Nothobranchius furzeri: one gene and its partners. The protein of the gene in region 3 interacts with the protein of the main gene of each other region in a biochemical or structural test. Links are inferred from orthologs where the notes say so. Each region holds a gene or a part of one and is shown on either strand. Other genes may lie near its edges.

Region 1 (6,619 bases), on a different chromosome or scaffold from region 3:
GTAAGCTCACTGGGAGCAGAGGAAAGGAAAACTATGTCAGTGAGAGGTCTGAGTTAGGAGCGCTCACTCTGTCACATTTCGCACAGACAATACAACAAAGATTGTAAAAACGATGATTCACTTTGATCAGTTTTCAAAGCCTAAAACATTTTAACCTTTTTTATCATCAATTCACTTGTACTTTGTATTAACTCATTAATCAAACATTTTCTCATAACGAACTTAATAATTATCTAACGGCATCCCATAAATTAAACATTTCTATCACTAAGTTGTTGCAATTTTGCACAGATAATGTTTAAAGCAAATGAATGCATGATAGGAGATATGTGATGTTCGCAACCTAAGTGATTTATTTATTTTTATTAAGGAGGACCCTGCATGCTTTGGTTTATATCGGCATTGAGCATCCCGAATAATAACCAATGTTTATGTATGTGTTTATATATGTGGAGGGGAAAGGCAGTGGGTTAGCCAAGCGGTATTTGTTTGGGCGTGTGACAGTGATTTTGATTTCTGCCCAAATGTTCACATCGGTCCATCCCTACTCTTAAAATGAGCCACATTATGAATTGTTTAACACTTGGCTGGAATTTACCTGGTGCGATTCTGTCGGTTTAGAACAATTTCACAAAAAATAAATGTCTTAATAAGTAAACTCAATCTGACAGACTGGCTAATATATGATTTTATACAATGGGCGCAAAAGACAGAAAGGATATAAGGCTGAATGTGTACGTTTTTATTTATCAGACTCAAACTGCTTATTAATGCAAGGAAGGATAGTTTAATATGTACAGAGATAAAAAAAAAGGTCATACATCCTTCCTTGGATTGTCTGACATGGTAAACTCCTAAATACTGTGCTAAATTTATCCATCAAGTGGAAGAAAAAGTTTCCAGATTTTTGTGATTTTGGCATCTGGGAAACTGGCAGAAGTTCTCTAATCATTATGTCCTTGTTCTTGTTTACCAATTAAATCTAACAAATACTTGCCTTTTTCTAAACATCACTACTGTGTTTTCTATTTAGTAAAATGTGTGATGTTATATTTTTAAATAAAATTTAATACATATTTAAATATAAATTTATAAATAATAAAGCATTTAGCAGTGATTCACGTGCCGAGTGGAAGTAGGTTGTTGGCACACATTTTCGTTATCAACCACAAACCAAAACACATCCGTGGTTTGTTTAGGCAAGTGCCTCGATTCTTTTTCAAGTTCCAACTGACCTGCGACTCAAATGCCTCAGAGCAACCTGCTAATACACAACCAGTGAGTCGCTGCAGCATTTGGCTCCTAAGTTATTGACGTCAAGCCCCTTGTGATTAAGGGACGAGGCAGGAGACTTAAACCAGCCTGCAACACAGAATTAACCTGAAGTCATATTTATTGCAATCAAAGACAATAGTGACCCTTTGCCAAACACATCTAAAGTGCTAGGTTTCAAAAGAAGCACACAAAAGGGTGAAGTCCCAGAGGGAAGTTGGATACAGTTGACAAAACATCGCTGAGGAAACAACATGATCAGAAAAGAAAGGGAACGCGGGTCAAGAGACTGGAACAGGTTTTAGATCGAAGTCTTCTGCTTCGAAGGCTTTTGTCCCATTGCCAGCTCATAAAACAACCACTTCATTTGTAGAGCCATTTATGTTTGTACAGAGATTTCACAATAAACTGCCACTCAGTGAAAATAGAACTTCATTTAAAAAGACAACAAGGCTGTTTTGGGATGCAGCAAAACAAAAATAAAAAATAAATAAAACCTAAAACATGGCAGGTAAATTTTCCAAAAATCATCATAACCATCAATTATATATGATCTTTTCTAGTTTCTGAATACAACATCACTCAGAGCCAGCTCACACTAGAAATAACTGATTCATAACATTAATGTTTTCACTTTCAAAACCACAAATTTCAAGTAAATTTGATTTTTTTTATTAATTGCAGTTTGAGATAAAATGAAATGGGACCAAAATGGTAGTGTCAGGTAAAAGCTGCCCAATAATCAATAATCATTACTGACCTTAAACCAGAATGAGTGAATTTCTAATAATCTATCACCCATGTCACTTGTTTAAGTAGATCATTTCTATGTTTTGTCATGGCACTAACAATACAGCCATCCTCTTCCCAATGTGCATAAATTGTGCCCTTAAACAGGAACAATAACTAATATTTGGTATAATATGAGCTTTGTGTGTCTCAGTGCACAGTTTAATGCATCTCATTTAAAAAAGCCTAAATTAGTGATATATTTGGAGCAACTGTTGGAGCTATTCTTGTAAAGTGATTTACACATCAATTACGACACATTATTTTAAACATGACAACATTTTTAAATGATTTTTCCATGGACAAAGTCTGTTTGATTTAACACTAGAATACTCTTTGTCAAGATGTCTGGCTATTGTTTTCCAGTAAAAAGACCAAATCATTTGATTAACCAAATGAACATTACAAAAGGAGTGTATGAGTGAAACACCAGATCAGAAAACCTAACAATAGAAAGTATTAATATAACCAGAGTGGTCATTATACATTAAAAATTAGCTTTAACGTTACCCAAAATTTGGGACTTGGGATGAAATCTTAAATCTGTTTTGCCTTACAGTCTTTAAAATTAAAGCAATCAGTATTTCAACAATCCAGGGGCATTTGACTTTATAAGCTTCAACTCTCAATCAAAAGGTTGAGCAAAACCAACTGCACATTGCCTGGAAGTATTTGTTGTGAGGATTAATTAAAACATTTATTTTTGGTAACTAGCTTCACTAATCATCTGAGGTCAACATCCTGGCCTAGAGCACTGTTAGAGTTAGCAGCAACTAATAAAATGTGGAAACATTTTCCTGATGAGCAGAGCTCATCTCCCTAGTGAATTTAGTTACCGGTAAGTGCTTTTCAACACAAGTGCTGACAATGAAGCTTATAATTACTGTGACGTTACACCAAAATTATTTCTGCTAAAACAATGGATCACTTAATATTTTTACTCAAAATCCAATATTATTTTCAGACCGCTCACATAGGTGCCAGCAACTTTTAATTCAACACTATCAGATTAAAACAAAACCTCCCCTGTAATGTATTATTTAATAATGTGCCAAAGACAAAACAAAGGTAAATAACGACCATGTGGCATCGAGGAAATCTCAGTGCCAACCACACAAAATCTTAGTAAGCATCAGCTGTTGTGATCAAAACAAATTAGATAAAAATAAAAGCAGTTAAGTTAATAAAGCTAGCTCAAACTGGCTACTGCTGGTTACTGAAATGTATTAGGTGCTAGCTAACGATGCTAGCAGCACTAGCATGCAAACGAACACAGCAAACTAGCAGTTAACCTTGAAATTAAGGCCGTAATGTCAGTGGAGTTATAGTTATTTAATATAAAATAAACGCTTAAGTTGTCTAGCTAGTTTTAAAACAACATGTCAAAAAACAAAACTGTGACGTTACCTTTTCTTTTCGGGTACAATTCCTGTGTCCATGGACGATTGGACTCGGGTTGAGCCTCTATCTGTGTCAAGCCGTATCCGGGCGCGTCGAGAAATGAAACACAATCCCGCGATTATTAAAAGATGTTAATCCGTAGATCCACAAGTGGTTTACATAAGAGCTAGTGCTGTTTGACTGCTGTCCCAAATGTGAGATCAAACGCTCCAAAACAAAAAAACTTAACTGCTTCTGGGAAAAATAGTGCCACGCTGGATAAGTGCTTCTTTACCGGAGACAATGTTGCCTCAAGAAGGACCGCGCTGGCCCCTCCCACTGTCTCCGCGGGTACGCGCAATCACATGATTTTTTTTACAACAGCGCGCATGTGCACAGGAAACCCAAGCAGCTCATTCACAATTAGGAAAATAAAATAAAATAAAATAAAATAAAATGAAACGAAATAAAACGAAATAAAATAAAATAAAATAAAATAAAATAAAATAAAATAAAATAAAATAAAATAAAATACACGGGATTTAAAAGTAGTTGTGATTTTTTCTTTCCTTTTCCCAAACATAATTTTATTTTATAAATTTAAATTCGCAAACGTGTTTGAATGCCTTAAATTGTCTAAAATGTTGCATGAAAAATTAACTCAAGTAAATTATAATAAAATAATAAAATTTCAGTTGGATTATTTTACAATTTTAAAGAGCAAGTCACATCAAAATCAACCTTTTTTTAAGCTGATAACTAGTATAAATGAGTGTCTAATAGTGTTGTTCAGCCTTGTAGCAGTCGAGGCTCGGCTTAGCCGCAAGTGAGTTGTGCTGTAGTTTGAACCGGGATAGAGTTTGAAGAGCATTTCACAAATTAGTCTAAGCCGTAGTAATTAGCCTGATCCCGCCGACTGCTGCTTCCTCAAAACGGAGATTTTGGGCCCAATTTCAGGTGAGTAAGCTAAATATTTAATTTAAACTGCTTCTAAAGATCATTCTCTACCTGTAATTTTGCAGCTATATTTATAATTACAAAGAGACTTGGACGTGGTTCACGTAATTTAGACAATCAGTCCACGCTGCCGCAGGCTCGAAGCCAATGTTGTGTGTGTTATAATGTCAGACTGGTTCGTGCTAAGTTTTTGTGCCAGTTAGTAATATCAGTGCTGATGCAGAGCAGGAGGTACACTGAAGAGTAGCTCCTCCTTCTGCTAAAAAGCTGACCCGGTTCTGAACTGGTGCTGAGTCTGGTTCTCATTAGAACATGTCTGATTCTGGACCCTGAGTTAGCTCTGAGAGCAGTCCGATCACTCACCAGCCATGTTATAAAGCACATATATTACACAGTTTGTTTTGTACATGATCTAAGTTAGTCAACTCCCACAACAACTTGATGTTATTATAATTTTCAAGCTAAATCTGCCCAATAAATCTTATGTCAGACTGATGTAGTCCTCCACCAGCCTGCACTGGCCCAGACTACAAGCCTTGCAGGTGAGTTATTTTTAACCATCTGTCTTTCTTTACCTTCTAGTTTTAACAACATATAATTATTTTAGCTTGTTACACACACGTGTGTTACTGCTCTTAAAACCAACTATAAATATATTTGCTGTTTCTTTATATTTCACATAGCCTCCCAGCAGCTGTGTGTCTGACATGGGCCCATGATGGGAATTCCACCTAGAGCAGCTTCTACACTCCTGAACAGATCCAGGTGTGGTGGAGAGCTTCTGAGCAGCTTCCATTTGAATGGCAGGACAAGCTCTATGAACTGATCCAGGTAAAAACATTCTAAATAATAATATTGTACTCTGTATTCTGTTTATTTCCTTACACTTCAGCCTGACTGGTCACCACTGGAGAGGAGCATCTTCCCAGACTCACACTAACATCCCGTTTTACCTCAGGACCTCCTGATCTAACAGAAAAATTTGTAGCTCCATCCTTGCTCTGCTTTCCACATGTTTCTCATCATCTCTGAAAGCGACCTCCCATAACACTGTGATGTTATTTTTTTTTTCAGGCTAAATGATCCCAAGAACTCTGCTGTCAGACTGATTGTTGCAGCTACAAATGGCCCAGACTAACATTGCAGGTGTAGTAAAGATGAGTTGTTTTTAATCATGTAATCTTCATTACAGCCTTTGAGTTTTTACATCATCTATGTTTTTGTTTCATAGCTTATTGCTACACGTGTGTTGCTGCTGTGAGCTTGGAGCTAGATTACATCATGACATCATGAAGGAGGCGACTGATTCTGGTCCTGTGACACTTGGTGGTGACGTGTGAGCTGATTCACCTGGTAAATAACTTTTAAATAAAATATTTTGTTTTTAAGCTATCAAAAGTAAATTAACTAGTAATCTGCATTATTGTAGGGCACTCAGCAAAATATGGACGCTACACCATGAGGCAGGCACGCGTTAATATTCTATAAGAGCACGAGGTGAGCAACACCACAGATTATTGTACACTGTTTTGGATTTGTTTTCTTTCTGCATCTCATTAGCCTGGCTGATCACCTGATAACTCCTGTCATCTGGTTACGACAGCATGAGGACGTCCTCACACACCTGTAACCTATCAGCACATCTGGCAGAATAGAGAGAGAATAGACAACACCACATCTCCTGTTCCTGGAAAGCCTTCAGCCATCCTTCGATGACTGAGAACCTCCATCAGCTCTGTCTCCTGCCTGCCCACAATTATTATAATAAATATTGTGTTTGACAAGTTTTTTGTGCTGCCAAAATGTCTCGTTTTAATTCCAGTTTTTATATTTTAATGGATATTTATAAATTATATTTATTGAATTATCACTTTGTTGCACATTTAACTAGCACTATTGTGATGAATGACTGTTAAAAGCTCGTTTTAAACTCAGGTGTGTTTAAATATTTATGGACATGAACAAAAACAGGAAATATATAAATTGAGATTTATTTAAATATAACAAATAACTTTAGAGGGGGAAGGAATCATTCAAAGGCACATTCTTCTGGAAGCTCCTGATCCTGACGACACCACCGGAAGAAAACAGCTGTAGACACTTGAGGATCACCTACGACCAAGAGAAAGCTGGTATCAGTAAATAATGAAATCAGGGCAATTTTAGGTGGATGTTTGATTGTGTAACATAAATGAACACATTACAGATTTTTCTCATGGGG
Region 2 (6,042 bases), on a different chromosome or scaffold from region 3:
TACTGCCATGGATGCTGTTACTGAGCAGAGCACCGTTCTCTAGATGGTTACAGTTCTCCAGTGAGAGGAGAAGACACTTTTTGCTATGAATTGTCCCCCTGAACAAAGGTGTGTACGTTGTTTTTTGATGTTTAGGTAAACCTGTGATCAGTGTTCTAAAGATTTAGACTTCTCTGAAAACATCAGTCAGCCGTCAGAAAGCCACAGGATCAAACCCCGTGGTAGGTCATAACCGTCCTCCTTCCTTTTTTAGTTTTACAAGCGTTGTGTTGTCTGAGCTGATCTGTTACCGTTTCTTTAACCTGAGATGTTTTTTTTTTTTTTTTTTTTTTTTTTTGCTGCTGCTGCTGATGTTTAAGCAGCAGAACTGTGCTGAAGCCATAACTGTTCTTGAAATGATGTTGCATTGTGCCGTTTGGTGTCTTTTTTTATATTACCCAAAAAGTTGTATTTTAAAAAAATAAACTAAATTCTTGTGTTTTTTATTGCATATTTAAGTGTGTTTATGTTCTCTTGCAGCCACAAGTGGAATACTGGCATATTAGTGTAGCTTTCATACACCAAGAAATCATTTTTCATTCGAGTTTCTTCCTCTCCAGCTCACTTTTCCTTTTTTTTCCGAATCTGGGATTGTTGCAGGCTCGTCTCCGAGGTCAGCGTTCTAGCAGGTAGAGGCTTTTTCCGCCCTCAGCAAAAGGAGGAACTCGTTTGGCTGGTTCTGACAGAAAGGAAATAAAATCCCGAGGTTTGTCTTTGTCATTCATGGAAAAAGGAAAGAAGCAATTCCGATAACTAGACTTGCTGCAGGAGCCTGAAGAGAATGAAGAGTTTGGTTTCTGGTTCTAATCTGTTTTAGGACGCGTTGATCGTTGTTTCACGTTTTCTTGTTTCTGCTCAAATGAAGATGTTCAGTTTGAATGCACCGGGTTCTAAGTTTTCAGTAAATCTAGCAGATTACAGCCACCTTATCCTAACAACTCCAACATTTGGATGATTTCATATCTGCTGAAAAGAAAAATTGCTGCAGCAACAAAAATGTGTAGTTTTTTTCCACTTTGCACTCGATTTGAAGCATTTTGGACTCTCCTTTTGTCTTGTTTGTGTTGCCGTTTCCACGCGTAACCCCATTTCCACCGGCTCACCGCCCCCACCAGCACATTCCTGTTTTACCTGTACGAGTTGTCATGTAAAGACAGGGTTTCACAACTAACATACCACAAAGTAGGATGACTAAGCCTGATTTCTCAAATAACTACATGCAGACAGTGTTTTTTTATACTGCGCTGAGTTTAGCGTTCGTGCCATTCTGTCCCTTTTTGTGACGATGGGGTGGGGGGATCTTGATGCTGTGGTTTTGTGAGAAATGCAAAAGTAAGAAAATATTTGCCGCTAGTCTTCTGAGAAAAAAAAACTTCCACCAAACGTCCTCTAGAGGGAGACACAGCACAGCAGTACAGGCAGAAAAAAGGTTTTCTGTTCCATTTGAAGCCACAAATGTGTGTTTTCATTCTAATTTTAGATTCTCTCCTTTAACGCGCAGGCTTACGCTTGACTTTCTGAAAAGTTTGCTGAGCACAACATGTAATGGAGGATGGATCCACGGATCGGACTCAGTCGTGTACAAAAATATATTTATTCAAGTTTTCTGGAAATGCAGATGCTTATTTACAGCAGAGGAGCTCATCGACACGTAGGATCAAAACTCAAAAACCTCTCAGGAGTTCTGCTCAGACGGTGAAGTGACCTCAGCTTCAGCGGACGAAAGTCAAAACCCTAGTGTGCTTTATAGAAGCCTCTAAAGCACGCTGCATGGAGGTCACCATCCCGAGGACCACCCCTCCCATCGGCTGAAGAGCATGTCGACCAGCAGCTCCAGCAGGTTGGCCTGGCCTATCACAGGCCTGAAGAAGAGTTCGGTGATGAGGCTGGGTGTGATGCCCTGCAGCATGGAGGCTGTGAGGAGGATCCGAGCAAAGCGCTCCTGGTTGCCAGGGTGAAGCAGCTGGACCACCTCGCTCAGGGCGTGCTGAGCTTCCTGCTGCAAGCCTTCGACAAACAGGCCTGCCTTCAAATCTGGTACATCTGTTTGAGAGAAAACCAGAATTGTTGCTTGACAAACGAGTCCTTGGATTATCTGTTGTCTGAATCCAGTTAACGCAGTACATACCTGGATTAAATATCGTGGTCCCTTTCAGGTAAGCGTACTCCTTTGGGCTCACATCTAGACTCCAGAACTTTTTGAGACACGACTTGAGTTTGCTGATGCCTGCCATGGTTGGCTGCTCCCGCTCTGTTTCAGGGCTCTCCTGGCAGTTCAGGAGAATCTTCTTCAGCATGCTGTCAGCAGGGACGTCCGCCACCTCAAAGTCCACGCGCTCCTGGGCCAAACCCAAAATAAAAAGTGGCACCCAGCTGCTTTTAAGTAGTGCAAACTGGTCACTGGGTGGCAGCTGGTTAAACGCTGGCAAGTTCTTCATGAAGTGGACGGTTTTCACCAGAACTGCAGACGCCTCTTTGCAGACCACAGACGGCCTTTTTAAGCACACTCTCCGCCGCGTCTCACAGTTGCATCTGTGAGGAACGGAACTGTGGCTGGAGGTGTCTGGAGTCGGTCTACCGCTGTCCATCTGGCTCAAGATGTTGTAGAGGATCGGGTTTAACTGCCTTTGTTTGTTAGCGGAACACTGGCATCTGTTATCCATCTTTCTTCGATGCGGCTGCTCCTCTGAACCTCTTCTCTGCCACGACGGGCTCCGTCTGAGCTTCTGAGAGCTGCTGCTTCCTCCAGTCTTATTTATAAGGCCAACCCTCCCTTCTTAGTGGACCTTGAAATGTCAATACACCCAATGTGAAAAACAACCGCGCGCTCTGCCAGGTGACTGCTGGAATAACCCTGGGAAACAGATAAGCTTTTCTCATTGAGAAGTAGCTGCTGGAGTCACACATGGATATCAAGTGGGATTGGCCTTATCTGGAAGGCAGTGTCATCAACCCAGGCAGTACCAAGCTACCAAGGACTGCAGAGGTAATCAGCCCCACGCTGTGTCACTGCACCCGCCAGCTCACACCTGTAGTGCTGGAAGGAGGCCAGACCACAAAGGAGGCCGTTGACCTTCACATCGTGTTCTCATCAAACGTAGTTTAGTTTAGACAAACGTTTCCAAACCGGGAACAGTGGGAATTATGCTTCAATTTTAGGGAAACAGTAGTAGTAGCATAAAACCACCAAATAATTCCCGACCACAGCTGCAGTTCTCCGCTCCCCACGGGGATGGGTCAAATGCGGAGATGAATTTCAACAGTGTGTGATGACTAAAGGAACTATTGAAATGATTCCAAATGACTTCGGGAAGAATATAAAACAAGTTCATCGCTGTAGCGAGCCCCCTAGGGGCAAGTTGCATTGATAGCTTAACCTGTAACTCTGGGGTGGGAACAAACGGTAAAATGTACACTTAATGCATCTAATCCTCAGAAGTCCCAAAGCATACTTCAACCTTATAACCACTTCACCTACTAACCTTTAAAATCGGACCGGCTAGCAGCAACGCGACTCTACCACTGACTCTGTTTGCTCTTCAACGTTGATGTTTTCTCTCCACAAATAACACGAGCCTGGAGGAGGTCTGCTGTGTGGTGGAGTTGCTTGTGCTAACGTTAGCTTCTACTACCTCTCTGCTGTTTCCTGGATGCTAAGCCAACAACAGCCGCGAGTCAAGGAGGGTGAGTCCATGAATGTTAGGTGACAGCGTGGCGTAGATCTGTCAGGCTTTTCAAATCCTAGGTGTAGGAGACTATTTTCATGTTCAGCATGAACGAAACACTCGGAGACCGATTATAATCAGAAATAATAATTAAAACTTTTTTTCAGTGTTCCACACCGTTAATGGATATCCATCAAGATTTGCGTTTTAATTCTGCCTTTTCGATCTTTAACACGATTATTACACAGAAGATTAAAAGGTTGTTTGTGTGATCGTAAGGGTCGTGTGTAAGACCAGTTTTTCATTTGAAACATGCACAGAAGTGTTTGTTAGTGATCTGGAACGTAATTAACCCGTTTTACAAATGTCTGCTTCTATAGTTTCTTTGTTTGCATTTGCTTTTGCCCAGTTCCTGAGTAACAGCTGCATTTACGTAGAAGTTTTTGAACATGTTTATTTTGCTGTCAACACATTTGAAATGAAATGAGGCATTCTAACTGCAGATGTTCCGTTTGTGAGACAAACTTATCTAAAAAAGCATCTTGATCAAAAAAGAAATAGTGTTATTGTTTTTACAAATGTTACATTCTCTTGTTGTTGGCCATTTCACAACTAATCTCAATAATGTACATGTTTTTCTTCAGTTCAGATTATTTATATAGCTCCTAACTCAGCAGACGGCATCGAGTCACTGACTAGGTCTTTGCAGCAATCCTCAAAAGCAAGTGTGTAGCGACAGTGGGGATTGGGAAGTCAGCGCAAACACACACACACACACACACACACACACACACACACACACACACACACACACACACACACACACACACACACACACACACACACACACACACACACACACACACACACACACACACACCAAGTGGTGTTCCTATGGCTAGATTGTGATTTCTTATTAAATATTCTATTTAGTGAGAAATAAACTTTATTGTCTTTATCTGGGTGAATCTAATGGGCCATTCCCATCTGTACCGGGTCGGCCCGGGCCGGGTAGCCCCAGTCGGCCCCAGCCTGGCCCGGTTGATTCCACACATCCTTGCCTTAAGCCCATGTGGGCTGATTCTACCCACCAATCAGAGGCTTGCTCTAATGGAAGGTGTGAATTTGCTGTCAGCAGTGGGTGTGTTGGCCCTGGTCGGCCTGAAGCAGACCCCCTTGAGAAGAGGGCTGAGAATGAGCCTTGGTTGGCCCGGAAAAATACCAGGCCACCCAGATATGTAAACAACCTACGCTACCCGGCCCGGGCCGACCCGGTACAGATGGGAATGGCCCATATAACTGATTCAACAGGTGAACTAGTAGTAGCACATACAACGTTAAAGAGAGTAAAATGTTATTAATAAGAGAGGGAGTATGTTAAGTAGTTAGCAGCAGCATGCTAGCCGGCGGCCCGCTCCATGAGGCCACCACAGCTCAGCAGAACACCGGTGCTCTGCGTTAAGTTGCATCCATGTGCAATCAACCATAACAAATCATTGGATGGCCCAAACACACAAAGGATGTTTGCATCAACCTCAGTTTAGCCAAGTCTTCTATAAGAACATAACAAAAGGGACAGAAAATTAAGCATAGCTTAATAAACATAACAGCATGAACATAAGATGTATTTATTGCCACTACATCACCTTCTGCAGGGCAAACATGAAACATGAATTGTACAAAAGGGTGGTGCAAAGTTCTCAGCTATGAACATACACGTACAACGAAAGGGACAAAAAGAGATTTTAAATGTGGTTGGTTGATACGCAGGTGTGGGTTATTCCTGGGGAAGAAGTTGAGTGGTCTAATGGGATCTGAGATGTTTGTCAGGCTTATGCCGCCTTCGGTTTTATATTATACAGGTAAACCGGCAGGAAAATAAAGATCTAACCAACGATGTTACAAACGGGAAATGCTACAGATAGCTGATTCTCCTTCAAATGCAAATGACAGTAAACTTTGTTAAAAGTTGTGTTGTGCAAAACTTAAAACATTGCAAAGCCTTATAAAATAATCTTTGCATAAAACTTATTTCTTTAACTTTGCGTTGTTTTAAAGTCTCTTTCCGGAGTATTTCTCTTATCCGATGGCACCATCTAGTGGCCGACAAGCATATGACACAAAAACTCTCGCTCTGTTTTTTTTTAGATGGCGATTTCCCGTTTCCGTTTATAAATGTGCTTCTGTAGCCGACAAACAGCTGAAACGTGTTGTTTTACGAGTATTATTCTCATGTCAGGCTGTGTTCTCATTTATTTATATTTTAAAGTCTTACTTGTCCGTGAAAAGTTCATCAAATCTGCATCAGCCGAAGTATTCCTTAAATTTGAAGCAAGTA
Region 3 (6,078 bases):
GCCATGTTCCTGCCTGCTTTAAGCTGTCCACCATTGTCCCTGTCCCTAAGAAATCCCGTATCACTGGACTGAATGATTACAGGCCTGTGGCGCTGACGTCTGTAGTCATGAAGTCTTTTGAGCGCCTGGTCCTCCCTCATCTCAAGTCCTTCACCTCCCCCTCCTGGACCCTCTGCAGTTCGCATACAGAGCCAACAGGTCTGTAGACGACGCCATCAACCTGGCCCTCCACTTCATCCTGCAGCACCTGGACTCCTCGGGAATCTAAGCTAGGATCCTGTTTGTGGACTTCAGCTCTGCGTTCAACACCATCCTCCCTGCTCTGCTCCAGGACAAGCTCTCCATGCTCAACGTACCCAATTCCACCTGCAGGTGGATCACTGACTTCCTGATGGACCGAAGGCAGTGCGTGCGGCTGGGGAAGAATGTCTCCACCATTCAGACAATAAGCACAGGATCTCCACAGGGCTGTGTACTTTCTCCTCTGCTCTTCTCCCTGTACACAAACTGCTGCACCTCGAGCCATGACTCCGTTAAACTGATCAAGTTTGCGGACGACACCACCCTCATCGGGCTCATCTCTGACGGTGATGAGTCCGCCTACAGGAGGGAGGTGGAACGGCTGGTGTACTGGTGCAGCAGCAACAACCTGGAGCTCAATGCTCAGAAGACAGTGGAGATGATTGTGGACTTCAGGAAAGTCACAGCTCCATCTCTCCCCCTCGTCCTGACGGACACCCCCGTCACCACTGTGGACTCCTTCCGCTTCCTCGGAACCACCATCACACATGACCTTAGGTGGGAGCCATCCATCAGCTCCCTGATCAGAAAGGCCCAGCAGAGGATGTACTTTCTGCAGCAGTTGAAAAAGGCCAAGCTGCCGGCCCAGATGATGGTGCAGTTTTACACGGCCATCATTGAGTCCATCCTCACCTCCTCCATCACTGTGTGGTACGCCGGAGCCACGGTGAGGGACAAACATAGACTGCAGCGCATTGTGCGCTCCGCTGAGAAGGTGATTGGCTGCAGCCTTCCATCTCTCCAGGACCTGTACGTCTCCAGAACTCGGGGGCGTGCAGGTCGGATGGCAGCTGACCCTTTTCACTCGGGTCACAGACTTTTTGAGCCGCTCCCCTCAGGCAGGAGGTTACGGTCCATCCGGACCAGAACCTCCTGCCATAAGAACAGCTTCTTTCCGTCTGCCGTTAGACTTGTGAATAGATTATAAATACACAGCCATGCTGGTCTTCTGCACTTGACACAACATCACGTTATCAGCCATGTTAACACTACCTGCCATTTTTTATAGCTGAAAGTTTCCTTCTATTTTTATTCTATTTTATTCTATTTTTAATCTTATTATTATTCATGTTATATGTAGCACATTAGTACCAAAGCAAGTTCCTAGTTTCTGAATTGTTTGTTCACTGACAATGGCAATAAACCTATTCTGATTCTGATTCTGACTCTGATTTACCGGTCGATCTATGTTCCTACCCTCACCTATGGTCATGAGCTTTGGGTATTGACCGAAAGAACAAGATCGCAGATACAAGCGGCAGAAATGAGTTTTTTCTGAAGAGTGGCTGGGCTCTCCCTTAGAGATAGGGTGAGTAGCTCGGCCATTCGGGAGGGGCTCAGAGTAGACTCGCTGCTCCTCCACATCGAGAGGCGCCAGTTGAGGTGGCTCGGGCATCTGGTCAGGATGCCTCCTGGACGCCTCCCTGGTGAGGTTTTCCAGGCACGTCCAACCTGGAGGAGACCTAAAGGTAGACCCAGGACACACTGGAGGGACTATGTCTCTCACCTGGCCAGGGAACGCCTTGGGATTCCCCCGGAGGAGCTGGCCCAAGTGGCTGGGGAGAGGGAAGTCTGGGCCTCTCACCTTAGGCTAGTGCCCCCGCGACTCGACTCCGGATAAGCGGATGAAAATGGATGGATGGTGTTCAAGTTATTTTTGTAAACATTGTAGAGTTTAGGGAATTGAGTGCTTAAGAGCTCAATATATATATTACCTCTACTTGTGACCAATAAGCTGTGATACTCTATCTAAATATAGAATATCAACCCTGCTTGGTCTTTGTGTGTTTATCAGGATTTATCTAGGATTCTTTATTTATTAAGGGATTGTACACACTTTGTTTTGATTCAGCAAAGAGTCAGGTTTATAAAAGTAAGAATTTATTTTACAAACAATTAAACATGACAAGTTAACTAACATTTGCTGTGAGTGGATGGAACTAGATGTGATGTATGAAACCTATGGGTGAATGTGGTGTTATCAGAACTTCTGGATCTAGGAAAGCTGAGTTCTGGATGTAAAAGAATTTGGGTTGCACTAAGCTATGTAGTTGATCATTATCAAAAAGCACATTAGATGCTATCTGTGTGTCTACTTCACCAATTCTGGAGACCCTCTTGGTGGGTCCGAAAATCAGAGAGGTCGGTTGACCTCTGGCGCCGAAGGGCTGTAGAATACCGTGGCACCGACTCTTCAGTCCAGAGTTGTCTCGGGTCATGACAGATGGATGGAACCGCGTGTCTGGGACTCTTAACCAGTGTTAATTTTGACAGGAAATTTTAATTTTATTTTAGTCTTAGTCGTTATAAAACGAACCGGTAAAACATCTGTGCGGGCTCGGGACTCGGATCATATCAGTGCAAACCAGACATTGTGAAAATTATAAACAACCAACAGCATGCTTCACTCTACTGGTCTAGTCCTGGTTTAGAGCGCACGTGTAGCGAGCGGCTGCGACCCAAAAAGTACCAGAACCGCTCACGGTGCATGCGCAATCATGCATCAACACTGCTCGCCCGCTATTTCCCTAATAACACACGTTATAGTCGTGAAAATACAGTACTTCCGAATTTTTATCCCAACATGACAGAGTTGGTACAGTTTTATTTGCCTGTATGTTACTTTTCGGGTCGTCACGTGTACAACATTTAAGTGGATTTACCTCGGAGAAAATGGCGAAGTGGCCATTCTGTAGATGCCTCTTCAGATTTGTTGTGTTCTTTCCTCGGAACGACAGTCCACACTCTCGGCATGTAGTTTTGGTAGCAATGTTATCATAAGAAAATTGACTCCACACATCTTCTCTTCTTTTTCGCCCAGCAGTTAACATTTTCCTCTACTCCTTCTTATGTCGTTGTTTTGTTATGTTGTTATGTTACGTTATGTTTTAAAGATGTACATTTAAAAAAAATACTACTGTTTTCACAGCAAAATTATTTTATCTGTACAGTTCTGTTTTGCACAAAGTAGATAGTAAAACTGAATGAAAGCATAAACATATTGTTTTATTCTTTATTTTTATTATAATTACTAAAGCACTATAATTAAAATAGTATGGAAATATTCTAGATCAGCATCATGAAGCAAATGTGTGGCCAAATTATATACAGTTAGTTTTCTGGAAAAGGAATGAAATGTCCCAGTGTGTGTATGCATGAGTTTTATATGCATGAAAAAATATTTGTAAATTAATTATGATTTATCATTGTACAGACATGCCTCGTAAGGAGAGGAGGCGGAAGCAGCGACAGAATGAGCTACTTGAGGCAGCTAAAGGCAGTGGGTCCCTCACCAGCTGGATAAAAAAAGAATACAGGTAAGTTGCATCACAGCAACAAGTGTAGAAACAATAATATACACAACTGCAATGTTTTGATGCCAGAAAATGTTTTTGTTAGCCTCTTGATCATGGATTAGGTGCAAGACCTGTTAAATGTGAATAACTACATACCGTAAATCCTCTAATACAGGCCCGGGCCTGTATTTGACTCAAGCTCATCAAGCTCCAGGCCTTTATTGGAAAGAGGGCCAGAATTAGAGGCAGGCCTCTATTTCTATTTGAGCAAAATGAACTAATGGTTCGCTGGAGTTTTTGACAATTAAAATTGTGCCCACATTTTCAAAGTTAAACACATTTCTTTTAACAACGGTAGTTTCTGCTTCAGCCCTCTCCCCCCTGCCCCTGCTTCAGCCCTCTCCCCCCTCCCCCTGCTTCAGCCCTCTCCCCCCTCCCCCTGCTTCAGCCATCTCCCCCCTCCCCCTGCTTCAGCCATCTCCCCCCTCCCCCTGCTTCAGCCCTCTCCCCCCTCCCCCTGCTTCAGCCCTCTCCCCCCTCCCCCTGCTTCAGCCATCTCCCCCCTCCCCCTGCTTCAGCCATCTCCCCCCTCCCCCTGCGCAGCGGCCGCAAACTCACTGATGCGCCTGCAGCCTCTCAGAGTTCCTGCTGCTCTAAACATTAAAATAATTATTTCATTTTCTGTTCCTCACTTCTGATTACCTTCAGTGGTGTCTGTTTGTTGCAACCAGCAGGTACAAACACTAACTTGTTTTTATTTGACTATTTTTCTGTCCTGCCTGTTTATTATCTTCCTGCATCTCCTCTCAATCCTAAAGAAAAACTGCTACCTGGGTTCATATATATTCACCTTATGAGTTACCTTTGAACTGCAGTTCTAAAAGATCTACCGACCGCAAAAACAGCGGAGTGCTCGCTGCTTGGTGGCAGCGTGATCGGTGCTTCACCGGATGACAAGGTGATGCGCCCCGCTCCACAGCGAAACGCATCAGGCGCAAATAAAAGACAGAAAACATTAAAGGAAATAAACCGACATGAACAATCGCGTGTTAAATTAGTTTTTGAGGTGGCGACACCTGATTTGATAATGTTACTGTTGCCTTGCGCAGGAGGCAGATCTACCGACCGCAAAAACAGCGGAGTGCTCCCTGCTTGGCGGCCGCATCAGTGATCGGTGCGTCACCGGAGGACAAGCTGATGTGCCCCGCTCCACAGCAGCAAAACACATCAGGCGCAAATAAAAGACAGAAAACATTAAAGGAAATGAACCGACATGAACGATCGCGTGTCAGTACCGACGCTCTGGCACAGCGCGTTGCCCCCCCCGAGCGCAGGAGCTTGTCACCTGCTGACAGCAGGCTGCTGTCTTTTCCGTGGACTGCATCTTGCCGGTCATTATCACGTGACAGCGACTAGTCAATGACAGGCATAAAAAGTCACTATAGTGAAGTCGACTAGTTCATACAACCCCTACTACTGCTCCCCAGTGTTCTGCAGCGCACGTTCTCTTTGACCTTGATATCAAATTTTCGCCTCCTCTTCGTCTCCGCACGGTTAAAGTTACCCTCGCGGTCTATCACTGGCAAATCAAAAGTGACACAACCGCCCCCCGTACTTGCTTGTTACCACATTCCACCCGGCCACAATAAGAGACCGGCCATTATTCACCTCCGCCGGCTCAGACACCGGCCAAAATATGATACCCGGCAGTTACTTGAATACAGGCCAATATTAGAGGATTTACGGTAATTCATTCATACAATAGCTAATTTTGCCTTGTTCTCAGATGGACAGCAAGTGGAGAGTGATAGATCACATGAGATTGAAGACACACACAACTCTTTCTGTTTATATTTCTGTCGCATTCTTATCTCTGACATAAACTCCTCTATTATCCACTAATGTTTAGATTTCCATTTATTTACAACAGGTTTTGTCTCAGATATTTCTGTCTTACAGTTCTAAGAGTTTTCACCAATTTTTGCCATTTTTTTTATTATCTTACATTAATTTTGTAATTGACTAACATTTCTCCTCTGTTCGTTTTACTACCTACAGTCTGAGATCAACACAGCCTTGCCCTCCAGCATCACCAGCAGCAGCAAGAGGAGCAACCCTGCAACAGCTACATTGTACCCCATCATCAGGTAAAATAGGACAGCAACAGATCAGGAGGTGGAGCAGGTTGTCCAGTAATCGGAAGGTTGCAGGTTTGATCCTGACTTTAATCAGAGATTGATGCTGTTGTGTCCTTGGGCAAGACACTTAACCTGCTTTGCCTGCTGGTGGTGGTCGGAGGGACTGGTGGCGCCTGTGCTCAGCAGCTTCACCTCTGTCAGTGCGCTCCAGAGCAGCTATGGCTACATCATAGCTCATCACCATCAGTGTGTTAATGTGTGTGTGAATGACTGTGTTGTAATGTGCCTTGGGGGGTTGTAGAACCCTAAGAAGGCATTATACAAATACAGACAATTTACCAAAA
Region 4 (6,589 bases), on a different chromosome or scaffold from region 3:
TGTGTTGTGTACGTTTAACAAGTTCATTCTGTAGCTTAAAACCTACATGAAACCATCTAAAGTTAACATGTAAGTCCTGAAAGCTTCTAGAATAAACAAAGTTACTTTACCTGAAAACGGTTGTGAACAAACGCTGCTGACGGACGTGAAGCTGCTGTAGCTCCTCGCTCCATTTTCGCTAGCTTTAGCATTTTTCCTTTGCGTGTAGCTGCCGCCACGGCTGTGACGGGACCTACGGGCCACCGTAGAGGTGAAGGCTAGACTGTCCGAAGTCAGAGCCGCTGACTTCCGGTTTTAGCGGTCTTAAAGGACCCGGCCTTGCTAGACCGGCGAGGATCCATACTCATAAGCATCCTTCCCGTGGATTCGGACACACCCCAAGTCTGGGATCCCAAAATGACCTCAAGTAATCCTGGTTCATTTTTCATTAAAAAAATGGTTTAAAATTCTTACTGAAGAGACATGATGTTCTCTTCCCAACAGGAATTAGAAATAGTCTGCAAACAGCATCCACGTTATTAAATTCTTCTGTCATGTCGGTTACACACATTAAAATCACCTCTTGTCTTGTTTTGCTCACTTCATTCTACTTTTGACAACCTCATCTGGTAATCGTTTTGCAGCATTTCATTTAAATGTTTTCATGGTTCTAATACAACTAATCACAGTCAAGTAGCGGTGATCCTACCCACTGGACTGTCTGGAAAATGAATAGCAACAAAAAGCACTGCAAAGAAGACAGGATCAACCTGTGCAATCAGCCTTATTACAAATGTGTGCAAATTAAGGCGTAGCTTTGCGTGGTAGGATAAAGTGTAGGTCCCGTTCTCACAAATCTATTTTACTTTTCTGAAATTGTTTTTTCCTCAAACTTAAAAACTTCCCCCCATAATAAAATATTTTATTTTATGACATTTATTCTGAATATTAAAAAGTGGAATTTGGAGAAAAAAGATTAAATAAAGTATTTCATAGGTGAATAAATGCAATATTTATTAAAACTTGTGAATAAATTACAACCTCGGGCCATTTTCAGTTTGATCTTTTACCTTTCATCATCGTTTTAGCTCAGTTTGATGAACTTTAATGTGTTTTGAGTTAATAGTATTAAGCATATTGCATAGAAAAAACCCAACAGCTGCCTGCATAATAATTTACTACACAATTTATCTACTACGTTCAACAGCCAATAAGAACAGCCTCTCCCACTGACAAGACTTCAAAGCATCATTGGACTCTTGAGTGTTAAGATGAGCACATGACATGCTCCCGCACACTCCAAATGTTCCCAGCATTGCGACAAATTTTCATCTCAGCCATATCACGTTCAATCAGCGACAACCTGACACTTACTGTCACTCACAGGACCATCAGTCACTTAAACGTGGTCAGTCTCTACCCTTCTAAACTACAGGTTATAGTTTAATAAAGGCACTAGGCTGAGGACATGAAAAATATTAGAATGCACTAAAAATATTTAGTAGGACAGCAAAGGGGCCCCGACACACATGTTGAATATAAACCTGCCTGACCAATTCATTTTTCTATGACTGCAGAAGTCCTATCTTTTTGGCTTTAACATGATCATCATGTAAAAAATAACTATTTGCAGTCTGGCATGAGATTTATCCCCTTCTAAAAATAAATGGGATCACCTGCAATGTTTAATATCATGTTAATAAGGAGAGTCCCTACCTTGTTCATGGCTCCATGCTGCTGGGCTCTGGCTCCAACCTGCCCCCCTGCCCCTTGCTGCTGTAGAGTGTCAGCCAACAGGTTGCTGCCACCAGCCATCCCCTGATTACCGAAGCCCATCCTGGGGGAACCATTCATCACCTGGTTTCCAATCATCCCTGGCTGCTGCTGTCCGTTATTGCCTTTCTGCGGCACACCAATCATGCCCCTGTTAGCCATCATTCCACTCTGTTGTTGCTGCATCATGTTGGCCTGCTGCTGAGGAGAAAGATGCTGTTGTCCCATCATCTGCTGGGGCCCTTGACCTGAGGGGGCCTTCATGTTCACCAAATGTTGCCCCATGGCTGTGGGGCCTCCTGGGCTGCCCATGGCTCCTTGATGCCCCTGTTGACCAGATGTGGTTGGCCCCGTTCGTAAAAGCTCAGACAGTTGTTTGTGCTTAGCCACTGCATCTTGGCCTCCACCAATACTTGTGGGGCCCCCTCCAGGACCAAGTCCAAGCCCCATTCCTCCTACTGCTCCACTTCCACCTCCTGCACCCAAGCCTGCAGGTCCTCCTCCCAAACTGGTGTGCAACTGGTTGAGGTCCCCACCATTGACCAGACCTGGTTCATTAGAGCTGATGAGCTCATCTGGGAGGTCGTGCTCCAAATCAAATAGTGAACCAAAATCTGAAAAGAATAAATACAAAGTTTAAGAAGATCATTTGAACTGAAGGACAAAACTTCCAAAGAGTCAATTCCATATTGAGCTGATATACTCCAGGAAGGGGTACACAACTGTCAACAATAGGTAATGGAAAAAAACCCACCCATGATGACAAGTTTAACAACCAAGCTCAAAACTAGAAGTGACTTTCAAAGCTAGTGGCCTGGTACAACAACTACACACAGCTTAACCTGATGGGGGAATGGAGAGGTGAAAGCATCCCGTACTTCTACAAATTATTAATAATATTAAAATAGTTGATCAAATCAAGTTAAACAAAATGTGCACAAGTGTAATCAAAACATCCATAACATCAATGATCAGCAGAAACAGTCATGTGACTCAAATTAATGTTTTGGTCATAATAGATGGACTGAAAGACTTATTTAGAGGTTTTGGACATTTAGCTGCTTTTCACTGTTTGCTGATGCTTCACTGAATCCCATCTCACATTTTAACCACTTATTCTAACTATGACACAGCTAGAATCACCAAGTGATAGAATAAAAACCATGAGTCTGTATTCAGCTAGATGCATGCTTTTCAGATTTGTACTTAAGTTTAAATAGCTTGTGTCAACGTCACTCCTAACGCTTAGAAAACAACAATCTTTGGAAGAATAAATGGCATCCCAACACGAGGAGGATTTTTCTTATAAAGCACTGCAGCGCTCTCAAAACATCATGCAACGTAACAAAACGTGTGTGACGTCTGGAGTATTTCTTCATCGATTCAATGACAGATTAGTGCTAGACAACCAAAGACGAAGCCGATCATCGTAAAGATGACAACAAATGATTACATTTTATGTGACAGAGAATCTAGTCAACGTGACTCCCTGGCTAATGTCTGTTATGGCACGACGCTATCCACGCTCCGGTTTTTCTTCTTAGGCCGTAATAGCCAATACATTACGCCATTAACTACTATTACTTTTTTAAACTATACTATATCGAGAAAAATAAGTTCAATAACGACTTAAAACACTGGGCCTGAAGATAGACTAGCCTAAATGTTTATTAGTACCCTCTGTTTTCGCTAACATTATCAACGAGTTAGTTTGGAAAACAAGATCCTCTAAGACGACGCTAGCCTAGAAATCTCACAATTCGCGGCTTTGTTAGAAAATGACTAACAGTGTGATATAACTATAAGACAACAAAGACTTCAGAATAAGGCACATGAACACTGAGCTCACAATCAGTCCGAATAAAGTGGTCATTAGGAACGGACAGTTGTGGACTCGGTTAGCCTTGTGGCTAGCAGCTATCTCAGGTGTTGTGCTAAAAATGGCACATCGTTGTAGGCAAACGCATTTGATGGTAGTTTGATTAATTACTTAAGTGGAAGTCTGAAGAAGAAAGTCAAAAGAAACAATCAATTTAGTATGTTGCTCAATTAAATTATTTACGGGTCGTATTTTGATATATGGATGTGTGTTAGTCAATGTTTCAGTATGGCAATTAACCCATCCCGTGGAGAGTAGCAAAATGTTTCTATAAGTATCGGTATTTTTGCAAGTTTCGAAGATAGTGTAAATTTAGTGGCTGAAATTCCTTCCTGGTCAGAAAGAGGCGAATCCTAACATCAATTTAACTTAAAAGCACACAAACTGCATCATTAAGCTACATCTTTCTTTTATCTAGTCGTCAAATGAACTGAAAACCATATATAAATTTGTCACTTTTAACTTGTTAAAATTGAAAACAAGTCAACTTCCCTTAATGGTGGTGCGTTTCGCGGCAGGGGAGCTCATTTCGGCACAACACCGGCTAAAATGGCTGTTAGCATGTGAGCTAACATCCCTTCCTCACGTCCGACACACACACGCTAAAATTAGCAAGCCACGACAAAAACAGAAGAACAAACCCGGGTCTTTGGCCTCTGTTATGCAAACAAGTCACTAAAAAAGGATAATGTTAACGAATATTTCCGTTACAAATGATAAAATAAACCAAAACTTACCATCGCTAGCGGAGGCAGAAAGTGCCGGAGAGGAGAGTTTAGGCCTCTTTGCTGAAGGCGGGCCAGAGTCCAGAACGTTCTCGGCCATATTTTTTCGAAATAAAAATATATAAAGTCTCCACAATTGCAGACGTTTTCACGCCCCTAGAAGCTCATTCCTTTTCGTTTCTAATATTGCGACTTTTCCCCCTCCTTTTGGGGTACTAAGAGGGGGAAAGTCCCGAGTAGAAATTGCTCCTCTTTCCCTGGGTTCGCCTCTCGATTTCAGCCTCGGCGTACATCAACCCCCTCCCTCCCTCGTCGGATTTTTTGTTCTTTATAAATTTCTGCCAGCGGAGGAGCAGGAGGAAGGGATCGGCGAAGGTAAAGACGAGGGAGACACACGCATCGGCTTCGCTCCGTAAACTCAAAGCGCCTCTTCCGATGCAAATGCGCTGTCCCCGGGTGTCGCCTCCATGGCTGCATCCGTCATTTCAGCCTCCTTTCCAACGGAGTTAGGATGAAGATAGTGTCGAGCAGAAAAGGCTGCGAAGTGACGGTGGTGGTGCTGCTGGTGGTGGAAGCGGGTGTGGAGGAGAGGATGTAAATAAAAATATATACATCAGTTAAATCTGCATCTGTAATCACAAAGTGTTTTAATAATAGTAAAACATAATTTATTTTCCAACAACCCAAGCTTGCATCACCTCCTTGTTGAGTTAAAACTGGAAAGACTAAATTTGCATTTTGTCAAACAACTTTGGCACAGGTTGTCTGATTTATCAGAGTTTTGTTGGTTAGTTTTGTTTTATTAGATCTAGACACTTTGCGAACAAATGTGACAATACAAATACAGAAATCCATGCCTGGTCCTTCTGGAAAAGTTCTAACCAGATGGTTCAGACATTTTACACAACCCCTAAAATTATTTATCCCCACAAGTAAAAACATTACCCTTGCCTTGTTTTTCAACCATAGGTTTAAACATTGATTATATCAAATGATTTATTTTGTGAAAAATTATTTCCGCACTTTAAAGGATTAACAAAAAATAAAATGGCACAATGGCTTTATAATAAGCATAAGACAGCTCTCCATTGCCCTGGCAGCTCTACATTTCCATGGTCAATGCATGTCCTCTAAACTTCTGTCTGTTTTCAAAGACTGTATAACTCGGTAACTCTATACCATGCATTGATTTGTGTACTCCAGTGAAAACACCCTTAATTCCTTTATTTAATATATATATATATATATCCTGATCTCTTTGACCAGTCATCAAACAACTCACATTAAAGTCCAGGAACAAGCATTGAAGCTGTAGATAGTCAACACTCCTGCTCACTCACAGGGGAAAACTCCCAAACTAAGGCTCTTGATTTGTGAGAATTTCCACATTTGCAAGGTTCCTCATCCTGTGCATAACTCCAGAGTGTAAATGGCTGTGAGCAGGTGGATTGTCAACGTCACTCATTCAGTTGCATATAAGTGGGCGTTAACCCGGATGTGGACATGGCGTTGGCATTCCATCTGGCTTGGCGTGTTGCAGCAAACCAAACTTCCACGTAAGTGCGGGTATTTTGACAAAAATTGATTAAATAAGAATGTGTCGCCCTAACAAATGCTTGTACGTTTAGTCTATGGTCTTGCTGTGCCAAGCCTCTGTGTGACATTACTTTGATTGCACCCCATGGCAAGAGGAGCAAGGTATTTGTTCTTTTCTGTTTTGTTGCTCCTGATGTTTGTCAGCGATTGTCTTTAATTTGTTTGTAAATTATGTATTTTCAGTTTTCACGGTGTTTGCACAGTGATTGACACCAGGTGCTCGGTGCGATTCTGGGAATGAGATGTGTGCATCTACAGCCTGACGAAAATAAAAAGTTGCACCCGTCAAAGCTCTCCTCCTTATTTCTTTTGGATGCCAAGGGGCAGCAACACAGAGTATGAGAGAGTTCAGCCCATGTCTACAAGTTATTCATAAACCAACTGGGTCTGGTTGGTATTGCTTGACCTCACATCAGTTTTGGCTTTTTTTCTGTCAGCAAACTGACATCTCTACATCCATAGAGCCAGTTTATGATGCTTGGGTTTGGCCAGCCTGGGGCCCCAACCTCATCTGTTCTTTAACTCAAAACATTCAATACATTAAATTTCAACCAGTCTTCCAGCAGATGGGTGTGCCAATGAGGGCATAAACAGCAAGTGGCATAGCAAAACTCTTTCACGTTGAGCTTGGCTAGAC
Region 5 (6,709 bases), on a different chromosome or scaffold from region 3:
CTCATTTAATATATTTTTACAAGTTTGCTCTGCTGTTGCATTTGCAGTCTGCCACAGGACGTTTCAAACCTAATCTAACCAGAATCTGTCAGCTTGCCACCTAAACTATTATATTAAAGGTACACAATGAGATCATGGTGTAAATGAACATATTTGCTGACTTTTGTGAATAATTTTAAAATATACATCTTGAGTGAGTTGAATGTTGCCTATTTGGCCATGTGACTCTAAGAAAAGTGTATTTTGTCTTACTATAAGACAGTTTTAGCTAGCCTGGCCTGCCAGACTCGTCCTCTTTTTAATTCTGCACCTAAAGAAAATCCCGAAAGGCACTATAAATACAGACATTTTCAGGTTGCAACTTCCTACAGCAGTAGAAGAACTGAACTGTGTAAGGGATGTTTTAATATAACTGCAGAATATGTCATATTACTTCTCTACTTGTGCTACCTTAAAGGCTGTATTTTATGAGTTGAGCCTTTGATGTGACAATAATGCATCTATTAGTCATCATTAGAAACTGACTAAGATGGTGGCACCTCAGTAGTCATTTAGCTTGTAAAACTACATTTCACAGTAAATTAATGTGTTTAAAATAAAGTTAGATGAGACACGTAACCTTAGTCATTAAACTTGTGCAGCGAAAATTGTATATAATTTTTCTTTAAAGAGCAAGTCACCCCCTACCAGAATATTACTCCACTCCCACTTCTTGTTTGAAAAATGCAACAAATTCTGATGCCTGGCAGACCGAGAGGGTGGAGCTGCTAACAAATACACACACGCTCACAACAACACTGTGATATCATAATGTACCAGCTAACATCATAGTGTACCTCTTAGCCAATAGCGATGGGAGATTTAAATTCAAATGTAGTGTAGAGTTTTTACCTGAAGATGACAAAACACTGACGGTTTTAGGCAGAATATTTAAATTGAACTAAGCTGCTCTAAAATGCCACATTATTGACTATACATGTCTACAGCATGATTAGGCACTCATTTATATAGTTCATCAGCAAAAGAATGTTGATTTGGGGGTGACTTGCTCTTTAACTTGACCAAATTAAAGCTATTAAAGAAAATCTACAGAACAAGCTAGGTTTTGAACGAAAACACAGAACACTCACCCCTCCCCTTGGGTATCTTCCCTGAGATGCTTCTGCTGGAACCAGAAACCTGCAACGCCAGACGAAACGAGATAGTGCTAAACACCGGTCATCGTTTTCTAGGTCCATAATATTTTGGTTGGCTGTGGCTTCAAATGGTGTATTTCTTTTTGGGACTCTGGTAGTTTGTCCGAAAGTTGAAGTGGTAGCAGCCAGCTGTTTCACCTTTTCTGATAATATGAGCGAGCCTCTCACACCGTACTTCAAGCCTGGGGCCCACCGGAGGCGGCTGCGCCACGTCACGCCGTCATTTTAAATAGAAGCCATTATACTTAATGAGAGTGGCCCCCTTGGGAGCGCCGCGTCCCAGAAGCGCAGCGCCAAGGCACTGAAGACAGCTACCAGTTCTATCTCAAGTGGCGCGGTGGCTGTTTATGACATTGTGGAGTACTTTACAACAGTCATTATGTCGCGGAACGGCTTTATGACACAAACTCAGTCACAGTTTTGATAACTTTAAAGTACTATTGATTATAAAACATTCTAATAAATAGCGTACTTACCCATTTTTAATGAATTTGAGTCACAAAACACGATGGCAAGTCTGATCACGTGTCACTTCCCGCTTCCTGTTCTCAAGTCCCGTGTGATGTTGTGACTATCGCGCGACTTTCCAAGAAGTGTCCTGTGTGACCACTTGACTTCTCAAAATCTCGGGCGGCTCATTGGTATTGGCGGAGATTTTTAGACAAATGCAAGAGAACCACTTTGTTTTATGTATATATTTTATGTATTGTACATGTACCTTTGTTATTATTTTTCTTCAAATTATTCTCTTAAGTGTTGGTGGTGCTGTAACAAGTGAATTTCTCCACTGTGGGATCAAAAAAAGTCTATTCTATACTAGTTGTTTATTTATTTATTTATCATTCTCCACAAAATATGTATTGCTATACTATGTTTAAATGTTGTTAAGGGGCATGGAAACATGTTTTAAGCTAATTTGTTTTCCAAACTTGCCTTTGCAGCTTTAACTTGACTAAATATGCTAATATGAGGAAGTAGCTGGCCATGGCTAAAAGTGTGGCTAGTTAGCCACAAACCACAATTTAAAATGTGTTCAGCTTCCTATGAGCTCCATGCAGCTTTGATGTGCTGATAGGTGAGATCAACTTTAAAAAATACATTCATTTTATTACACTTATAGGTTGTTTCTTGGTGCATGCTGAGCCATATTTGACTTAATAAACAACAAATGTTTCCTAAAACATTAGTTTATGATTAGCTAGAAGATTTTGCAGTTTTTCTGAAAAATTCCGAGTTGATGCCAGATTAAAGAATTCATTTTGTGTGATGCTATTTCACTCATTAGGTGCCTTATAAGATCCACTCTCATAAATAAAAACTTGTAACAGTACCTGTGTTTTCTGCGCATAATAAATCAGTTTAAATAGATCCGATTAAGTAAATCGGAGCTTTAGAAGGTAATTTGACGCCTTTTTATGTGTCCTTAAATCCCTGGAGGTTGAGCCGAGAGGAGGGAGGGGAGAGACGCACCAGGCAAGGCTCACACACGCACCGTAGCAGCAGCAGGAGCTGAGCGCTCCACAGCGAACGGACCCGGACCCAACCACACTGCTGCGGCTGTTCGGTGCCCAAGCCCCCGGTTCCAGGGGGGAGGCGAGCTAAACACGACCGAGAAAGTGCGGTCCAACACCGGAAACGCAGCCCGTGGACTCTCTCTGTCCTCTGCGGTTCAACACACTGATCAGGTCAGTCACCCCCTTCTGAGTTCACTATTTATTGTGCTTGGAGTTGTGGCTGCTAGGAGTAATAAAACACTGCAAACGTCATAAAAAGTAAAGTAATTCAGAAGACTGGGTTTAAGTGTCTGCATCAGTTTTTGTGTCATTTTAAAACAATAAGGATAACTTTTAACTTTTTGATTTCATACTAAAGTTTTACTTTTTTCAAACATGTCGACTTAAGGTGGACACTTCCTAGAGAGTGACAAGTAGCCAGTGGCGTAGATTGGGGGTGGCGATAGAGAGGGGGTGCGGCCACAGGGCTGACAACTGGCATGCACGTCAGGAGTTGGTCCAGAGTGTGTCTCTGGGCCACAGTGCGAGTGTGAGCTTGACATGCAAACACCAGGCAGAGATTTTCACCATCTAAGTGGTCACATCTTCTCAGGTAAGACCAGGTGATGCCTGCTGTTGGGTTCTAGTGTTTTAGAGTGTGTGTGTGTGTGTGTGTGTGGGGGGGGGGGGGGGGGGGGGGTCACATGTGCTGATTCACTGTAGATTCTTCTACAGTAACTGCTACATAAGAGTTGTGACTCAGCTATAATAATGTAGACTGACACAGTCACTCCTGTTTTTTCCACTTTGGGTTTTGATGAATTAATTTTGAACTCATGTGGGGAATAAATCTGATCTGTTGGTTTATCCTTTAATGGGACTGATAATGGTGAAAACAAGCTGCAAAATGGAAACGTGTTATAGATATCAGTCAAAACAGTAATTATGATCAGAATATTTAATAAATGCTTAGCATTACCAGATGTAAATCATCACCTTTTACTCCCTTTTGACATTTTGCTCACTAAATTTGTGCTCGGTGTCATTTGTATTTTCTGTATTATGTTTTTTTCTTGGAACGTTATTTTAGTGTTACTTTTTTAAATGTACTTGTTTTGTTCTTATTTTAGTCAGAGTTGTGATCTGGCGATACACAACAAAACAATCACTTAATGTAGGCAAATATTTAGCTTCAGCAACTTTGTTTAAAATTTAGACTAATATCTTTAAATCGAGTTTTCTGTACTTCTGATTATCAATAAACTGCTGCAGGTCAAACTCTGTCAAAATGTCTCTAAATCAATAAATAGCATTTTAAAGGTTAACAAATTATTATTGGGTTTAAGCAAAATTGTCCATCAAACATTCCAGATGCGATAGGACGAGTTTATCACTAAGCTGATCATAGTTTATTATGTCCTTTTTTAAATGAGACAAAGCATAATACATTTTTTATTGAGTGATTAATTATCAAGGCGTGTTTTTGTATTTATAAATGCACCTTCAGGTAAAAGCATAAATATTACTTTTATTACAGCAGCAGCTTGGTTTATTTTAAGTATTATTTATTTGAATGCAAGCATTTTCATCAGCTATTCATTTGGAAGAAATTGAGTGCAGTCCTGAAAGTTTTGCCTCGGATTCTGGTGTCATAAATCTCATGCAGCTTGAATCAGTAATACTAGCTCAGGTAAAAAAACATCCTGTAATCTTTACATAAATGACTTAAAGTCTAACAGCAGCTTCGATACAGGCGTTGATGCAACTGCATGCCCTAAATCACTCATTTATCAGGTTATATAATTCTTAGAGTAAGGTGCGTCCATGTGTTTGTTGGTGCATGTGTGTATGAATGACTGAGACAGATTCGGACTTTGTTCTGTTGTCGTAAACGAAAGGAGTGCTTCAAGATACGTTGCTATTTCTTTGTTGTTGATCACTCGCTTTGTGGATAACACACCTGCACATAAAGCTATTTTAATTGTGTGCTAAAGAGTTCAAGTTACTTCTTGTCACTTATTGTCATTTTTGAAGCTTTCTATTGATGTAAAAGAAAGAAATATCAACTTTTTCTGCCACAACCTTTTGGAAGGTACTTCAGTCACCTACAGTTTTAAGAGCGAAATGTAATCGCAAAAGGAAGGAAGACTGTCTAAACATCTGTTTTTGCATAAACATTCAGATAAAAGAGAATGACATGCTCTGGATGAACCCACAGATAATTAACCACTTTTGCTTCTGCACTGCCAAAATCCTGCTTTGTTCATTTTAATTTCATGCAGTGAATAAGTGTTTTAAAAGGCTTTTCTGATTAGGTTTCATCAGATAATGCTGGCGTTTGAAGTGGTTTAACCCTAAGGTTGTCAATTTATTTTTAAATTAGGTGTAATTATTAACTTCAGGGCTATCATTTCATCATTTTCTGTCTACGAACCGCAACATTTTGGCTGCAGATGCAAACTTTTATTGACACCAAACAAAACTTTGGACACTGGCAAGTTGTTTGCTAATAAAACTTTTCTGTACTTGTTAATCTTTTGTACTTTGACAGAGAGATGTGTGATTAATTAAGTACGCATTTTGCTTTGGGCTCCAAAAGAATCATTATTAAAATTATTTTGTCATGTTCCGCTTTGAAAGTATCCTTCTATTTAGTCATGCCTCTTTTCATGGCACATATTTCCACAGTTATGTGACGTACAGTGTGTGATGTGCAACATAAAATACTCAATTACTTTCAGTTATGACCCAGCACTCACTATGGCATTGCAACCATTATTTATTTTCCATACAGTTCTTTTTCCAAGTATGGACACTCCTGGAAAAAACACATTTTGATTGCACTGTCTCCGTTTGGACTTCCAGGCTCCCGTGGCAGCTATTCTCATCTCTCAGCTTTGCTCTCAGTTCATCATAGTTTCTCCATGCAACCGATCAGTCAAGAAGAAAATTAGATTTGATAAGTTAGTATCTACATAGATTTCACACTAATGACTGAATGTTAGGTTTTTTTAATTATATTTGATGATAAGCTCTATGATGAATTAATTTTGGTTTCATAATTTACTCTTATAGGTTTTAATCAATATTAAAGAGGACATATTAGGAGTTCATTTTTACTTATAATAGTTTTATGGCTATACAAAACATTTTCATGAAGTTCTTTGCAGTAAATCTCTCTGACATGAAGCAAATCTAGCAGTTTTAATCTTGACCGTTTTAGTACCTTCCAGAATGAGCCATTTCAGGGTTCTGTCACTTTAAGGAAAGCCCCCCCCACCCCACCCCCCCACCCCCCCACCCCCCACCCACCACCACCACCACCACCACCACCACCAGACTGCTATACCCTGGGAAACTCTGCTATAGGGAGCATAAGGCCTAGTCCACACGTAGCCGGGGTTTTTTTTTTTACGGATATCCGCCCCTCCAAAAACTTGCATCCACACCACCTCGTTTTAAAAAAAAACTCTGTCCACACGTATCCGGATAAATACGTTGTTAAGGACATGCCAGACCTGTAGGCGGCAGTACTTCCCCTATTCTTAACCTCGTCCTTCGTCTGTGGTCTTCTGCAAGGAGCAGTAATTCCGCTTGCAAAAACAAACAAGCAAAAAGCACTTGGACAATTGATAAAGCAAGCGCAGCTCTGAGGGCATCTATGCTGTCGGCTAGTGTCGCACACGTGATGTCAGCATTTTTTTGTCGCGGAAAGTGACGTTGCGGACCTTAAAACTCCGGTTTTGTCTGTCCACACGCAGACACCCAAAACGGAGAAAACGCAGATCTTCACTTTGGCCGGAGTTTTTAAAAAGATCTGTTTTCGTGTGAAAAAACTCTGTTTTAGTGTGGATGACAGGCCAAAACGTAGAAATATATCTACGTTTTGGCAGATCCCCGGCTACGTGTGGACAGGGCCTAAGTCACACCCATCTTCTTCCAGTCCATGGATCCCCTACTGCCCAAACAATATATATGATATGAGACTTAGGCTACCGATTACCACACATTTTCGAAATT

Evidence for each region.
Region 1: the proteins of hdac3 (region 3) and hif1aa form a complex in vitro, tested with the Homo sapiens proteins (2 studies listed by BioGRID). The link is inferred for Nothobranchius furzeri from reciprocal best matches to the Homo sapiens genes HDAC3 and HIF1A.
Region 2: the proteins of hdac3 (region 3) and nr0b2a form a complex in vitro, tested with the Homo sapiens proteins (2 studies listed by BioGRID). The link is inferred for Nothobranchius furzeri from reciprocal best matches to the Homo sapiens genes HDAC3 and NR0B2.
Region 4: the proteins of hdac3 (region 3) and ep300a form a complex in vitro, tested with the Homo sapiens proteins (2 studies listed by BioGRID). The link is inferred for Nothobranchius furzeri from reciprocal best matches to the Homo sapiens genes HDAC3 and EP300.
Region 5: the proteins of hdac3 (region 3) and pparg form a complex in vitro, tested with the Homo sapiens proteins (3 studies listed by BioGRID, with this or other methods). The link is inferred for Nothobranchius furzeri from reciprocal best matches to the Homo sapiens genes HDAC3 and PPARG.

What each region holds. Positions count from the first base shown.
Region 1 is NC_091758.1:31,056,205-31,062,823, forward strand, and holds the start of hif1aa (hypoxia inducible factor 1 subunit alpha a), read right to left. Parts: upstream 3,730-6,619; 5' UTR 3,501-3,729; coding exon 3,469-3,500; intron 1-3,468.
Region 2 is NC_091745.1:40,692,809-40,698,850, reverse strand, and holds nr0b2a (nuclear receptor subfamily 0 group B member 2a), read right to left. Parts: upstream 3,142-6,042; 5' UTR 2,703-3,141; coding exon 2,168-2,702; intron 2,083-2,167; coding exon 1,817-2,082; 3' UTR 1,615-1,816; downstream 1-1,614. UniProt on the Homo sapiens protein: Transcriptional regulator that acts as a negative regulator of receptor-dependent signaling pathways. Specifically inhibits transactivation of the nuclear receptor with which it interacts.
Region 3 is NC_091741.1:31,110,125-31,116,202, forward strand, and holds part of hdac3 (histone deacetylase 3), read left to right. Parts: intron 1-3,514; 5' UTR 3,515-3,516; coding exon 3,517-3,617; intron 3,618-5,654; coding exon 5,655-5,743; intron 5,744-6,078. UniProt on the Homo sapiens protein: Histone deacetylase that catalyzes the deacetylation of lysine residues on the N-terminal part of the core histones (H2A, H2B, H3 and H4), and some other non-histone substrates.
Region 4 is NC_091756.1:27,986,674-27,993,262, forward strand, and holds the start of ep300a (histone acetyltransferase p300), read right to left. Parts: upstream 4,595-6,589; 5' UTR 4,457-4,594; coding exon 4,369-4,456; intron 2,367-4,368; coding exon 1,696-2,366; intron 1-1,695. UniProt on the Homo sapiens protein: Functions as a histone acetyltransferase and regulates transcription via chromatin remodeling. Acetylates all four core histones in nucleosomes. Histone acetylation gives an epigenetic tag for transcriptional activation.
Region 5 is NC_091743.1:63,418,160-63,424,868, forward strand, and holds the start of pparg (peroxisome proliferator-activated receptor gamma), read left to right. Parts: upstream 1-2,949; 5' UTR 2,950-3,250; coding exon 3,251-3,302; intron 3,303-6,709. UniProt on the Homo sapiens protein: Nuclear receptor that binds peroxisome proliferators such as hypolipidemic drugs and fatty acids.